Schizosaccharomyces pombe: one gene and its partners. The protein of the gene in region 1 interacts with the protein of each later gene in a biochemical or structural test. Each region holds a gene or a part of one and is shown on either strand. Other genes may lie near its edges. The genes, in order: pcp1, cam1 and kms2.

What was found.
Region 2: the proteins of pcp1 (region 1) and cam1 form a complex in vitro, tested with the Schizosaccharomyces pombe proteins (2 studies listed by BioGRID).
Region 3: the proteins of pcp1 (region 1) and kms2 form a complex in vitro, tested with the Schizosaccharomyces pombe proteins (one study listed by BioGRID).

The regions. Positions count from the first base shown.
Region 1 is NC_003424.3:3,253,306-3,259,965, reverse strand, and holds pcp1 (gamma tubulin complex linker, pericentrin/kendrin Pcp1), read left to right. Parts: upstream 1-1,685; 5' UTR 1,686-1,800; coding exon 1,801-5,427; 3' UTR 5,428-5,565; downstream 5,566-6,660. Other genes in the region: ubiquitin hydrolase Ubp6, read right to left, coding at 1-265; ARP2/3 actin-organizing complex subunit Arc4, read left to right, coding at 522-524, 580-782, 913-1,036, 1,218-1,394; pcd1 (coenzyme A diphosphatase), read right to left, coding at 5,596-6,453. UniProt on the Schizosaccharomyces pombe protein: Spindle pole body component that binds calmodulin. Overexpression of pcp1 causes the formation of supernumerary SPB-like structures and disrupts both mitotic spindle assembly and chromosome segregation.
Region 2 is NC_003424.3:1,442,336-1,446,833, forward strand, and holds cam1 (calmodulin Cam1), read left to right. Parts: upstream 1-2,514; 5' UTR 2,515-2,594; coding exon 2,595-2,597; intron 2,598-2,723; coding exon 2,724-3,173; 3' UTR 3,174-3,998; downstream 3,999-4,498. Other genes in the region: tif310 (translation initiation factor eIF3j (p35)), read right to left, coding at 1-737, 781-793; GARP complex subunit Vps53, read left to right, coding at 4,368-4,498. UniProt on the Schizosaccharomyces pombe protein: Calmodulin mediates the control of a large number of enzymes, ion channels and other proteins by Ca(2+). Among the enzymes to be stimulated by the calmodulin-Ca(2+) complex are a number of protein kinases and phosphatases.
Region 3 is NC_003423.3:646,349-651,341, reverse strand, and holds kms2 (protein Kms2), read left to right. Parts: upstream 1-2,322; 5' UTR 2,323-2,352; coding exon 2,353-2,415; exon of another isoform or gene 2,416-2,458; coding exon 2,459-3,205; exon of another isoform or gene 3,206-3,271; coding exon 3,272-3,835; 3' UTR 3,836-4,406; downstream 4,407-4,993. Other genes in the region: DNA replication factor C complex subunit Elg1, read right to left, coding at 1-1,362; rba50 (RNA polymerase II-associated protein), read left to right, coding at 4,764-4,993.

The DNA of each region.
Region 1 (6,660 bases):
CTGACTCGACAGCTGGAATGGGCATAGCTGTTGGTAGTTCGCCTGCAGTACCCATCATTAATAAAGTTGCATTTGGTTTAATACCAACTGAACCAAGCAAAACATCGTCTTTAAGCTGGCCACCTTTGACAATCACTTTCTGTCGTTCCGGAGGAACTTGTGTCAACGAGTATAGTTGATGTTTCAAGGTGCTTCCTGTTTCATTAGGTTCAATCTCTAAGTCGTACTTCTTCCCTTGCCAACGAATTGCTATGGGAATCATCATAAATGGTTTTTGTAATTAATGAAAGAAATACTTGTTTAAGCCCAATATAATTTTTTTTGTAATTCTTTGCAAATTATACTTATTATATATGTTGCTGGTACTTGGTGAAGGCCATACAGTAACGAGCTATATACTCATTTTCGGTAACACCACGCAGCGTGCGTGGTTGTGCCGCTAAACTCGTTAAGCAATATCACACTGACACTACGTGTTAGCACAAAACCAAACCCGGAGACTGACTCCATAGATTCTAATTATGGTAAGAGAGGAATTCTTTTGTTATAAAAAGATATGATTTATTAACGAAGGCATAGTCTAATACCTTAAGACCTTATTTAAACGCAGTTCGTTCTACTCTGACTGCTTCTTTAGCATTAGAGGAATTCTCATCAGAAATTGTAGAACGCCAGAGTCAGCCGGAAGTTGAGGTTGGACGGTCTCCTGAAATTCTACTAAAGCCCCTGGTGGTCTCTCGTAATGAGCAAGAACAGTGTTTGATTGAGAGCTCTGTTAATAGGTATGTCTTAGGCATCCGATGTTTCCGATTCGAACTGGTACATTCACTGATCTTTCGATTTGGAATAACGGAGTTTTGAAAGTCATTCTCATTATTTGGATTTTTTTTACTGATGCATTTATGAAATTAGTGTTCGTTTCAGCATTCGTATTAAACAAGTCGATGAAATTGAACGAATTCTTGTGCGCAAATTTATGCAGTTTTTAATGGGTCGTGCAGAATCTTTCTTTATTTTGCGCCGCAAACCTGTTCAGGTACGTTATTACAAATTGTAATTGGCAAAAAAGTGTTCAAGGGAAGAATTTCTAGAGATTTTGCGTTAGTTTAAGTGTTCACTGTTCTGCCTCAGCCATTGTATAGTTCTTCTTTTTTTTCTTTTTCGAAGTTGCCATTGCTATTTGTAAATATCATCAAACTAACCTTTCTTTGTTATAGGGCTATGATATTTCCTTTCTTATAACTAATTACCATACTGAGGAAATGCTTAAGCACAAATTAGTTGATTTCATTATTGAGTTTATGGAGGAAGTTGACGCTGAAATTAGTGAGATGAAACTTTTCTTGAACGGAAGAGCTCGTCTTGTTGCTGAAACTTATCTGAGTTGTTTTTAGATTCATGTTTACGTTTTGGACCCTATCGATGATTTTATCAATTTATACATAAATAAATGAGCACCAAATACTTCTTCCGAATAAAATTCCTATCTCTTCTATTCTGTATTGAGTACAATAAACATATCAAGGCAGTTTTACATTCGATAATCCTTCATATCTACAATCTCGCCTTTTGACTTTTAGCATCCTTACAAGATATAACGAAAGTATACGATATGTTGTTACTTATATTAGGGAGCTGTTTCGTAGTTTATTTGATCATTTGACGACTGTAAACAAACTACAATCAACAACATTTTTGCTTTTTAATGATTCTGCCAGAATAAGTAGTTTCTATATAATTTTATGCACTTGCGCTAGTTGGTGGATAATTTTAATAAATACATGCATCCGCAGTTACGTTATGTCTGAACGAGATTTTAATACGCAATCTCCCAAATTTAAAGATGAAAACGCGAATTCTGTGATCAGCCAATCTGATTTTTTGGGGAAATCACTCAAAAATAATAACGATGATTATTCTGATTTCCGTGGTTCGTACCTTAATGATAAATCATCTTTCCAGACGCCTTTGCGCAACGGCTCTTATCAACCAAAAGGTAGTTTGGAATTTACTCCATTATTACAGTCTTCAAATAAAAACTCAGATAAATACAACGGGAGTTTGGGCGATAAAGGCTCTTTTGACCCTAATTCCTACGGGTTATCTGCTATATCTAAACAAGCTACTCAAGAAGCTTTGAGCATCAGTCAGGGAAATGACTCTTACGACGTTTCCAAGCTTACCGATCTCTCGAAAAATTCCGAAATAGATCACACAGATGGAGAATTGCCTGCAAATGCCGCCCTTACTCTTCGTGAGCAAGAAAAGGTCCTTGAGAAAGTTAGCAGAGAAAACTTTGGACTTCGAATCAAAATTGTATGTTTGGAAAAGCGACTTGAGTCTATGGCTCCCGAACAGATAAAAGAAGCTGTCAAAGACAATGTTGAGTTGCATGCCGAACGAGCAAACTTACAGCTTCAGCTTAAGAGAACTGAATCTTTACTTCAAAAGTCTGAAGACAAGAATTTCAAATTAGAAGAGAAGGTCGATTATTTATCTAAGGTTAATGATGTCGAGCAATCCCAGAATGTAAAAGTTTTTACGGAGCGCATTCGTTTTTTGGAGAATGCCTTGGAAAAAGTTCAAAGGGAAAAAGACAGTTTATCTACAGAGATGGAAGAGGATAAAAGTAACAAGGAAGTTGATTATGAATATGAAATACGACAGTTACAAAATCGGCTTGATGAATTATCGGAAGAGCTAGATGTTGCTCAAGATTTGCTTACTGAGAAAGAAGACGAAATTGCCACCCTGAAAAGACAGATTGAGGAAAAGGAGAATAGCTCTTCAGCTTTTGAAAATGAGGAGAATTCAAGCTACGTACATCTTCAAGAAGACTATGCGATTTTGCAAGCCAAATGTGATGAATTTGCGGATAGAATACAAGTGCTTACTGCCGATCTCGAAAAAGAGAAAGAAAATCAGATAATGCATGAATCCGAGGCCTCAATTGGTTTGACAGATTCCATGCAAGTACATACCCTTCAAGAACAATTACACAAAGCGAACGAAGAAATCGAATTTTTACATGATCAAATTAGTCGAATGAACGAAGAAGGTAAAAACTTTGAAGATATTATGCTTCAATTTAGAAGCTTGGAAGAAGAACGAGACGTGCTAGAATCCAAACTCCAAACTTTGGAAGATGACAATAACAGTTTACGGTTGATGACCTCCTCGTTGGGTAACCAAATTGAGTCTTTACGTACGCAAAATCGTGAAATAGATGAAGAGAAGAATCATTTACGTCTTCTTGCCTCTAAAAATTCAGATAAAGCACTTGCAGAAACGAATATCCGATTGCAAGAAGTCACTAAAGAACTGGAAACCCTTAGAATGAAGAATTCTAATGACTTAAACGAGATACACGATCTTAGGGAGGAAAATGAAGGCTTAACTTTGAAGATTGACTCTATTACCAAAGAGAAAGACCGTTTAATAAATGAGTTAGAACAACGTATCAAGTCATACGAAGTCAACGTTTCTGAATTAAACGGTACTATTGATGAATATAGAAATAAGCTTAAGGATAAAGAAGAAACTTATAATGAAGTGATGAATGCTTTTCAGTATAAAGACAACGATTTGCGGCGGTTTCATGAATCCATTAATAAATTACAAGATCGAGAGAAAGAGTTGACTTCAAATTTGGAAAAGAAGAACTTGGTCATTAGTTCATTACGAGAGACAGTTGCAATGCTCGAAAAAGAAAGAGAATCCATTAAGAAATATTTATCTGGAAATGCGAAAGACCTTGATAATACAAATTTAATGGAAATTCTGAACGATAAAATTTCAGTACTTCAGCGGCAGCTTACCGACGTAAAAGACGAATTAGATGTTAGCGAAGAAGAACGAGAAGAAGCCATAGTGGCTGGACAAAAGCTATCTGCTAGTTTTGAATTAATGAGCAACGAAAAACAGGCTTTGGAGTTAAAATACTCTTCGCTAAAAAATGAATTAATAAATGCCCAAAACCTCTTAGACCGGAGGGAGGAAGAACTATCCGAATTAAGTAAAAAACTCTTCGAAGAAAGAAAAATACGATCTGGATCAAATGATGATATTGAGAAAAATAAAGAAATAAATGTGCTCAATAGCGAGTTGGCCGACAAGCTTGCTCAAATTCGTCATTTAGAATCTGACAAAATGGAGCTAGATAAACTTGTGCATCACTTAAATAGGGGAATTGAGGAGGCGAATATAGAAGAAAATGCTGTCAAAAAGAGACTATGCCTTTTGATGGGATGTGATTATTCTTCGGTGAGTATTTTGCAGATAGTCAGTCAAATTGAACATTTTGTCAATCAACAAATCCAAACGATTCGGTCGTTGAAGCAAGAGTTACGGCATGATTTTGTACAGTTTTCTGGTAAAAAGGAACAGGAACTTAGTAGAAGCTTTGAAAAATTTGGATTGGGAACTGAGACAAAGCATGATATTCTTGCACAACGAAATCGAAACGTTAGTGAGAAGATGAATGACTTGGAAAACGCTGCCCAAAAGTTTTTTAGCTCTCCTGATCGGAAGAATGGCTATTTATATCCTTCTGAACATACTTCTAAAATCGAGTACCTTGAGAAAACGATTGAAGATCTAAAGCTTGCGCTTCAAGATGAACTAAAAAATCGAAATTTACTCATGGATGATATTTCCAGCTATAATAAGCAAACAACCAAGTTGCAGGAAAAGATTAAATGGTTAGAAAGAGAACGTTCGATACTTATCGATGAGCTTGAAAGTTATCGATCAAACCAGTTTAATTATCAGAACAACTTAGTACAAGATAAAAATGAACTGGAAGAAAGGCTAAAGGAAATCCAGAAGGAATTAGAGGTTTATAACAATCATTTTATGAAGCAAGCTGAATTGATGACTTCCAATGTTACCGACGAAAGCCAATTAATGCTTAAGACACTCAGGGAGGCTCTTCAGTCTAAGACTAACAATATCGATCATCTGTCTACTATTTTGGAACGTAATAGAAAAGAATATAAATCATTGTTAGATGACTATAATCAATTACGTGCACGCTATAAGAATTTACAATCAAATACTCCGCAATCCACACAGTCAGGGCAATACGAATCTGAAATAAAGGGACTCTCTAAGTTGACTAAATATCTTCAATCGAAATGTCGAAGAGAGCACTCTCTTCGTTTGGACCTTGCCTTTTCAAAAAAATTTATTTTAATGCAACTAACAGGATACGAAACATGCAATAAAATAAATTTACGTATGCTGCAGAAAATTGGAATTTCACCTGATCCTGATTTATCTAAGAAACACATAAAGCTGAAGAGTCTAATTATCGTTGTTTGTTCAATTGAAAGAATGAAGCGAATGAAGAATGAGTGGCTAAAACAAGCTCAATTGAAACAATCATTGCAAAGAGCTGCCGCAAAGGCAAAGACCGCAAACTACTAATCTGGGATACTTACGTTTTTTACTCTCTTTTTTTTTAACAACATTCAATTAATTCTACTACTATAATTATTTTAATTTATTGACTTTATTATCAAGCATTACTATTAATAACAGAAGAAAAAATAAATATTAATTAAGTCTATGTAGTAATGGTATTAAAGCGTAAAATCAAAACTTTGGGATTGAGATAAGAGCATCCGGGCAAATAGAATTAAGATACATATTTAATATAACCGCTGTTATTCCCCAAATTCTTGGAATCTTATCAATGTTAAATTCGACATAAAGCAAATCCGTATTACGAAATCGAGATATCTTTTGGTGCTTGGGATTTAAAAAAGAGGTGAGAGGAACGTAAAATAAATCTTTCACTTCACCTGTCCCAAGTGAAGGAAGGGAGGTTTGCACCGAAAACGCAAGGTAAGCCCGAATCTCAGTCTTTTCATCTCTGGTGAATAATGGAGGGAAAGTAGTCAAGTAAGTAAAAAAATTAGGGAGGAATCCAATTTCCTCGTAAGTTTCTCTTAATGCCGCATAATAATGAGAACCGTCTGAAGGTTCCACACGGCCACCAGGAAAGCACATTTGTCCAGCATGAGAACGCAAGTTTGGAGAACGTTGCGTGAGTAGTAAAGAAGCTCCTTGAGAAGTGTTTACTAGAGGCATCAAAACAGATGCAAATCTCGTAGGCTGGTTAGTTGGTTTTAATGGTAAGGTGGGGCGATTTTTGTGTAATAGGTATATTTGATGAGAAAGAGAATCCATGGTCAAATCTCCGTTCTCGTTTACCACGCCATTACTCACCAATTTCTCAAGCGGCGACTGGTGAAGATAGGTTACATGGTGCGATTGACTGCTGAAATAATGCCTTTGGATGTATTTAATAGCTTCAAAACAAACTTGATTGTTTAAAATACTATTTCTTTTTGAAAAAGTATTCTTTAGAGGACTCCAAATAAAGCCTACCAAAGAGTTTTGCCTTGTTAAAAATCGTTGATGACCTTTCCAGCGGAGCTTTAGCTTCATAATTTGGGATTTCTTGTCCAACTCTGCGAATTCCGCTTTTCACCAGGCGTTGGAATGTAGAACTTCTAGCAATCTAAAATTGATTAGTACGTATATCTATTAAGATGAAGTCGTTTTATACCCTTGATGCGACGTAGGTGGAAAGTAACTCTACTATAATTCGTTGAATCATACAAAGTCAATAATAATTTAAAGGTAGAAGAATAA
Region 2 (4,498 bases), 1.8 Mb from region 1:
AGCAACGGTTTTTTTAGAATTAACATTGACCGTAGGTTTTCCTCCTTTCTTAGAAGGAGCTGCAGTTGATACTGGTTTGGCAGCAGGAGCAGCGGCACCTCTCTTAGATTGAGTTTTTTCTTGCTGCTCTTTGTTGACTACAAGTTTATTCACTGATTTCTGAACTGCCTTCAAATTGGTAGCATTAAGGCCGGTAAGCAATAAAGGGATTAAATCTTGCACAAAATTATTATACTCGGCAGTGGTTTGACAATTTTTAACCTTCTTCAAAATATCAGCTTGGAAAGCTGCATAGTCGGCTTTTGTTTTGAGTTGTCGTTGATCAGCTTGCTTGGAGCGGTTTGCACTTGCTGAGTTTTTATCAACGATGTCAAACAAGTCCATGGCATTTGCCAAGTCAGAGTCAATTTCGGCTTGTCGCATAGCTTCTTTGGAACTTTCTAGTGATTCTTCCTTCGCAGCTGCTTCACTTGCTTTAATGGCTTTTTCGAAATTTCTTTCCTGAATTTTTTGTTGGATACGAGTCATTTTGTTAGAGCCTTGATCATTTTGGCTAGATGAAGAGGATTTTTGGGATACTGAATGAGAATCATTTTGCAAGGATTCTTTGTTTTCTTCTTCATCTTCATCCTCTTCGTCGTCAAATCTCTTTTTTGGCTTGGAAGAGGATTGACTATCCTTCCCTAAGGGGAAATCAAACTCTGCAGGCTTTGCAGGATCTTCTACTAAAAAGTCCTCTTCATTTCAGTTAATAAACATGTAGAATCATATATAGCTTACCCCAGCTATCCATTTGGAATTCACTTGATGGTTTTTACAGTCTACTAAAAAGGTATGTGGTTCAATAAGGAATTTATTGTAGTTGCACAACAAAATTACGAGATGAATTGAGTAGGAAAATATTCAAACACACGTACTGATAGAGTTCAACAATAAATACTTTAAATTCTCGATCATTCTTATTATTTTATTTTTTATATGTTTATTTTTATTTTTATTTTTTTATTTTTTTTCTATGAAGGATATGAGTACCTCGAATTATTAAAAGTTAAACTTCCCATTTCACAGCATTTTATTAAATCAATTGAGATTTATAAATTTGAATCTTTTAAGGAATTATACTCAAATTTTCATGGTCATTCTGTAGAGATGTCTTTAAACAGGAAGTGCAAAAATTTAAAATTATGAGAATAAACTATAAAATCTTTAAAAACAAAAGACGTCTAAATTTATGATTATTAAAGACAAAAAAATGCTCAATTTGAATTTATTTTTTTATTTTTTTTTGTGTTACATCAATAACAACAAATATTGTTTATTCGATTAAAATATCCGTTCAGACTAAAATCAATAAATTCGGCTACGGTCATTGTATCAGATGTTGAGGTTCTGGATTTTTATACATTGAATAAATCATTTAGAAAAGAATTAATATCGAAATATATACAGGCAATGAAATCCTGCTTGAATAATATATTGTTATTTACTTTTTCAGTTTTCCTTCTTCATTTGAGTGTTCAACTAGAAAAATTATCAGATCAAAATTGGCATATACAAAAAATACAAAAGCAGATTATGCTACACAACAAAAATGCAATTCATAATAAACGTGCAAAAAAACCTTTTAATGAACTGCACTTATCAAAAATGCTTTTGTTTAGCAAATTTTTCAAAGCTATGTCATTTTGCTCAATTATTTGGAGACTTTAAACCGTGACAGTGTTTGTAAATCTGCTCAATAATTAATTTTCCATAAATCAAAATGAAAACAATATTTTCATATCATGAATAATAATATCACTAACTCAACCTCATAGAGGAAAGTGAAAAACACGATTTTCTGTTTACATTCAGCAAAAAATTGCGCTGTAATAACCATTTCCAAATACTGCATTTACAAATATTTTTTGTTAAATCCTTTTGCGATTTAAACATCGAGTACGATATATAAGTTGAATGTCGACAACGTTCCGTTGCGCTATAGCATACTACGTTGTGTATCACTAATTATCACATGTTTGATTTGCTCTGTCAAGCTGTACATGATAAGTTACTTAGGTAGATTACTAAGAGTTATAAAATGAATAACAAAAAAAATAATAGAATGCTTAAATTTTATGAATTGAAATAAACAAAACCTCGTTTCTCTATTCACTTTTATGCTAATTCGGTGATAGGTAACAATATAACCTCTATATCAGAATATCATTCTAAGTTACTAAATGTATTTACCTGTGTACCATAATACAATAGGTCACAAGTAAACCACACGGCAGTTCTAGGTGTCGTTAAATAGATACCAATAAATGCGTAGCTGACATTGAAAAAGTTCCTTCATCCGCCGTTTAGTGGTTTTAGTGCGGTTTATAGCAAGTACGTTACTGGTTTGTTAGAGCATATACGATAATGTAATAAACTCTCATTGTTTGTTGACATCACTGTTGATGGTAGGACTTGCAACATTAGGAAGCGACAACGGTAGTCCTCATTTCTCCAAGGCACTTTAACGTAACTAGAGCAAAACACTAACCGCCAAAAATAAAGGTTAAAAAAAGGAATAGAAGGACTTTAGAGTTACTGATTTTTACCAGAAAATGGTATGTTTATTATATTGTTTGGACATATTCCGATTTTTCCTTTGAAGATTGACTAACAATCGTATGAACGGATGACACTCAGAAAATGATTTCTGAAGTCGTCTACCGTATCGTACATTATTACAGACTACCCGTAACCTTACAGATGAGCAGATTGCAGAATTCCGTGAAGCCTTTTCACTGTTTGATCGTGATCAGGATGGAAATATCACGTCCAATGAATTGGGTGTAGTTATGAGATCGTTAGGTCAATCGCCTACTGCCGCCGAATTACAAGATATGATTAATGAGGTCGATGCCGATGGTAATGGCACAATTGATTTTACCGAATTTTTGACTATGATGGCCCGAAAAATGAAGGATACCGACAACGAAGAGGAAGTTCGCGAAGCCTTTAAAGTCTTCGATAAAGATGGAAATGGATACATTACAGTCGAGGAGTTGACTCATGTGCTTACAAGTCTTGGTGAACGTTTGTCTCAAGAAGAAGTAGCCGATATGATACGTGAAGCCGACACCGATGGCGATGGTGTAATCAACTACGAAGAATTCTCTCGTGTCATTTCTTCCAAGTAGAAGGGTTGGAATTTCTGTGGAATATTTGTAAGCCTTAAAAAAATCAAAATATCCTTGCTGGGGTTTCCACCCTTTTAGTTCTTCTTTATAACCACTCTCCATCGCAATTTGGACAATCTCTTTACCAACTTAACCTCGGCTATTGTCCTTTACTTTTTTTTTCGTCTATGATTTTGAAAAACATTAGTTAGTGTATTACAACGTTTTGGTTGTTTATTTTGCTGGCCTAGGTGTGTCACAAAAGTAACTATGGTAGCATTTGTTGTTACCATTCATCTCATGATCGATCCTATGAATTTTAACGCTTCCTTTGTTTCAACACATAAAGGAATCCTTAAGTCTGGGAACATATACGTTATTGCTATGAGAATACCACGCACTTTTGCATTATTGCATCCTACAATGAATTATTAGAAGCTTCATCTGTCTGTTATATGATGCATTTGCTCGTACTAGTATGTGCCTAGTACTCGCTGTATACGTTGCATTTATGTCCTTGCAATTCCCATGCCCATTATTTAGCTCAATCTTCCTTTTCTTTTTTCCTTCAAGATTTACTGTTCATTATACTAGTCGATGTTAAAATTTTTAGCATTTTTCTAGTTATATGCACTTCTTGAAGCCGTTTTCTCACTCTGGTAGATATACGCTTTGTTTTGTACTTAATACATTACTTTATACAAATACATCTCTCAGTATGAAATTTTGTGCGGCACTTGTCGAAGCTAAGCTATACGTATTAACTAAACATAAATTCATAAATGACATCGTTTATTTTCTTTTTGCATTTCACGTAGTTATTCCGATCGTAAACAGAAATTCATCATTGGAATATGGACATTTCCTAAGAAGGAAGGCTCTGCGCCGGTAAAGTTCAAGTTAGTGAAGTTAAAACTTATCTAAAATTCAACATCATGGTACATATATATTCAAAAAGTTTTTACAAAGTTATCAGTTCTAAACCTCAATGTCCTCCTACTTGCTATTCAAGCCAACCTAACTTCCTCTCACCATCAACCACCCGCTATATGGTTTCGTATATCCCTTCGCCGTCGAAAACTTGTACCTAACTATACGAAATTTTCTTCTTTAAAATTGCCAAAAAAAAAGCTTCGAGTTCTATACTGCGCTGTATTACATAACACTTTGGAATCAAGGGTTAGCAATTACCATAACTAAATTAATTATAGCTCTATGTCGAATGGAAATGATAATTCTCTAATTATCAAAAATATTGGGAATAATGAATTTAAATTTGTAGAAACGCTTCACGAATTATTACCAGAAGATATCACTTATGATGATTTGGGTTCATTACGACTAAG
Region 3 (4,993 bases), on another chromosome or scaffold:
AACAACTTCAAAATTAAGCTCACGACATATGGCATATAAGCATGAAGTCTTTCCTATTCCCGTAACACCAGTAACAAGCATCCAGTTAGAAAATTGAGAAGATGTAAGCTTTGCTTTTTTACGCGACACAGAAGGATTGAACTCGTCGGAATCATCTTCTTCTTCAATGATATCCGGTTCAAAGTCACTTTCCGAAAGAGAATCTTCATTTCTTTTAGAAGATGTACAAGAATGAATAGTCGAGGATCGAGATATAGAAGATGAAGGAGGTACAGATGAGCTTTCAGGTTTGGTCAACCTACATGACCTTAGCCAATCCGCTATCTTCGAAAGGCATTGAGAGAACGCACAGCAATCTTGTGTTTTAGATGGAGCATATTTTGACACCCACAGTCCTTTTTCTAATATTTGTGGGATCATTGGCATTTCAACATTAGGATCTGATGGCAAAAGTCTTGACAAAACCTTTTGAATAAAAGGAGCCGGTGAAAAGCACAACGATTCCAAAGCAAAAGTATGAAGTTTAGAAGGAGTAACCTGTAATACTTCTGTTTTATTTTTCTCAGCTAATGGGGTTATCATATTCGCGGTGGTGGAGGAAAGAACCTCCTTAAACGAAAGATGAGAGGTCTCTTCTAAAATGGCTTCTTCTAAATGCTTTTTCGGAAACCAGAAAACACTCGGCTCAATAGAGCCGGCATACTCTAACATACTCTGGGAATCGGGTGTCGGCCATAATGGATCAAGTAACCTCTCTGGCTTAGTACCGCCTCTTTCTTCACTTACAAATTTGATTTCAGAATTCTTTTTCACAGACTTTGACATGAAAAACGGGTGCATGGATGTGACAGTATTTCGCAGATTACTAGGTGAATCTGCTAAGTTTGAATAATGTAACTCGGAAACAAGGGGGGAAGAATTAACTGTTTCCTGTGAATTAATATTCTCAACTAAAATATTAGTATCTGATGCTTCTCCCGACGACTTAGCAGGCGGAAAGGCAGTTGAGTTGGTATCATTGCTGAGTTTTGGGTGTAATATATTCTCAATTTTTTGACCCAAGGAAGTCGATACTTTAAGCGTTACTAGTAAAGATTGATCATTTTCAAAGTCTTTGCTTTCCTCCATATCCATATCAAAGAATTTCCTCATGTAGCTACGTTCCTTATGAAGTGATCGGCTTCTTCGAGGTTTACGAGACCCTGACAAAGGAGATTTGCCAAAATATTTATTTTCAGATGTGGCAGGGACTGGTGACATTGTGTGTCTCCTCCCAATAGGCTTTTCTTCTTTTGCTTCATTTTCGGATTTTAAATCAGGATTACTCTGCGAATCTGCAGACAAATAGCCTACAATTTGCATAGGGATCTTCAATCACCGCATAAGTTCAATAAAAGTCCTAGTTTGAATGATTTTTAGAAATAGTTTCACAGGTTTCTCAGCTTTCAACAGTTTGGTTAAGGAGAGGTAGACAAAGACTCCGTGTACTAGTGAACGAGTATTGGGAATTCGATAAGCTTATAGTTTAGATTTATTTATTTTTAAGTATGTTTTAGATTACTGAAATTCCTAAATAAAATATCGTTGCACCATTGAAGCAACACGATCCTCCATATTATCATTGTTATGTGTAAGCTGTCAGTAATTGAATAGAGAAGTAGGAGATATAATCGTCACAGTTAAGCTTTTTCATCTCTTTTAAAAACGACTTACCAACTTTTAATGTGAGTTTGCTTATTCCATGCAAAGAAAACCGAGTTCAATAGCTATTAATCCATAGCCTAACATAATCAGTGAAATAGTCAAAAGAAAAATTTGATACTAATATACTTTTTAGAAAATTTTAAAGAATTTGTATAATTACTATTTCTACTACCGCCAATTAGTCGGAACGCTGACTAACTTTTTGTGCATCGTTGTAAAATAAAGGAGAGCAGAATTTCACTTGTTTATGATTGTAGTAAATTTTCTAAGTTAAGTAGTCTATTTACTTCAATTAAGTAAATCTAGATTCAAGAAACGGATCACATTTGTTTATCTGTTTATTTATTTGTTTGTTTTTTAAAAAAAGGTAAGTGTAAAGCTTTCCTTCCACTTTAACTCAATCAGTAAAAAATAATTTATTTTGAAGATGATTTTGCTAACAATTTTATACATTTCGTACTGCAACATTTTGCTAAAATATCCTGTTTATGTTTTGACTTGCACTTTGTTTACTTTTTTAAGGCAACTTCTATAACGTATTGTTCTGCATTACATTACAAAAATAAGAAAATCGCACAAGTTATCGTTAACAAACCTGCCTTTATACTAATTCTGTTTAACCAAAGCACATGTCAATAAACAATCAAAATGGATGAATACATCCCTTTTGACGATATTGTGCGCCAATACGACCCAGATTATACAGGAAAAGTAATTTCTCATTACTTGAAAAATAGTTTCTAATTTTCGACAGGTTTCCATTCAAGCATTTTTAGAAATTGTCGACGATGTTGACGCATTGCGACTTAATCCAGAGGCCCCTTTGCTTGATAATGAGCAAAGACAATCGGCCCAAGATTTTATAAAAGATAACAGTGAGATTGTAGTGTCTACGAGTGAAATTAAGAATTTGTTTTATGAGTTAACTGGTCTTGACCCTGATACCCTTCCTGTAAACAAATTAGCTTTGCGCGAGAATGGGGTATTACCAAGAAAAAGTGTAGCGAAGCCTCAAAAAATATCAGAAAATCGAATAAAGAGAAAAGATATGTTTTATCAAGACGCAAGTTACATAACACCAAGAAAAGGATCACCTTTGAGTCATTCAACCCCTTTGTCAATGTTTCGAACTAAAAATGAATATGGATCAAATAAAGGATTTTCTCATATAAACAAGGAAAATGCTGATGATTCTTTAATTCAACAGCTTTATGAAAGGATAGAGCTTCAAGCGGCAGAATTACGTTCTAAAGACGAGCAAGTTAAAGAACTAAACGCGCGAAATGCAAAATTATTGGAGGAATTGGATTCTTCGGAAGAAGCTTGCAAGTCTTGTTATACCCAAGCGAAAACCTGGGAGAAAAAATTTCGTGAAGCTCTTCGTGATTCTAAGGAGTATGCAGCTCAATTACAAACCATTCATGAAGAGTATGAGCAACAGCAAGCCCATATTGTGAGAATGGAAGAGCTAATCCATGCTGTAGAAAAGGAAAGGAAAACGGTATGATTTTTAAGAATATGCCTTATTCGAGGTAGAGACAAGCCAGTTTACTAATTTGTTTAATAGGAAACAGATTACATGAAGAAAGAATCTTTGTCGGAACAAAAAGAAAGAGGCGCTTTTATGGAGTCAAACATGATTTTAGAAGAAAAGGTTGCACATCTTCAGTTGGAAAACGAGCAGTTGAGACTATTTTTTAAGGAAAAGGCGCCTCAACCCTTCCAAAATCACCCTCCGTATCAAAATCTAAAAATTACTTTTCCCAGCCCTTTCTTTCACATCCCTTACATCCCTAAAACGGAGACTTTGAACGATTCCCAATTTGCCGCTGGTCTCTCTTTACTGGCATCAGAACTTGAAAGTCAAAAAAATCTGTTAAAGAAGTTCGAAAACTTAAAAAAGAAGTCTTCCAAAGATTTTTTATCTCCCTCCACCATACTCTCTAATGCTTTTTCCAAAGTTTCACTCCCCAATTCTTTAATTTTGCGTGTCTTATTTTTTTCATTGTTGTTCATCATCGGAATTCATATTTTTTATTTTTTGTTTTTTCATGTTGCAACAATTCAACAATGGCCTTTTCTTTTTTGGTTACCATCTACAAAATTCGACAATCGTTGGTCTCCGACATGAATCTTAGATTCAAGTTTAATCCAATTTTTATTTTCAAAGCACGGATTCCAAACTTAATTGCTATAATTGAACATTGATTCAAGATTTATGTATATTGGAATAATTGATGTATTTATGGGGCTCTGCTCAATTCAAGACGATCTGTATCTTCTAACTCTTCGCCTGATAGGCAACGGACAAGAAGTTTACATTGAGCTAATAATTAGTCGCATCTCATCTGCGTTTGGTTTTAGGTGTGTCATATGAAAAAGGGTTAAAGCGACGTTTTTCGTTTTTATGTTTGAATTAAGATATTTTCTCTGAGACGAAATATTTTTAGTGTTTATCATTCTTTTCTTGTCTAATCTTCTACTCGCCACTCATTTTTCTGTTCTCTATTTTTTCTTTTTGGATGAATGTCGTTTCTTCTAATAACTTCTTTCTTTCTTTAATCTTCAAGGATAGCCCAAGTCCTATTAAACTCGGATACTATCTTTCTCATAATTTCTCTTTTATAACTAGAAAACTTTTTCACGAATTAATTATTTATTATGCACTTTTAATATTAAATGAAAAGTATTGAATTAAAAAAGGAAAAAACCATCCATTTTTCATATCATGTAAACATTTAGTTTTTTTTCCATACAATAAATCAATTTTTACAGTTACGTTATCATATATAGTGAGATGTACCGTTATTTTGTGAGCGCAAAATAGCTAAGAAAATGAGAGAAAACGTAACCATCCCTGCAATCTACCAAATGGTATGTAAATAGTGAAAGGGAGAAAAAACTCATAAGGTTGAAGTATTTATTATTCATTTAATCAGAATCTCATAATACTATCTCAGAGGGCTTTATTCGTGAGGTTTGAAGAAATTGACCCTTAAATTCTTATAAAAAGGAAACATCTACATACAAAAAGCAGATATTTTCAAAATTCAATCGCTATGGAGAATCACAGGAGTGTATTCTCAAATGTGATAGGTGATATTGTTGAAAAACCGCCGAAGCAACTTGTTGAAGTGAAGAGGTCAGTTCAGCGGCATGCTAGGGGATTTCCAGCCGTTTCACGAACATTGCCGAAACGAGAATCGAAATCAATGAGTGCTTATAAGGAGAAGATGCTTCGAAAGAATAAGGAATCTCCGGGTTTGGAAGGAAAAGGGAATTTGGATGA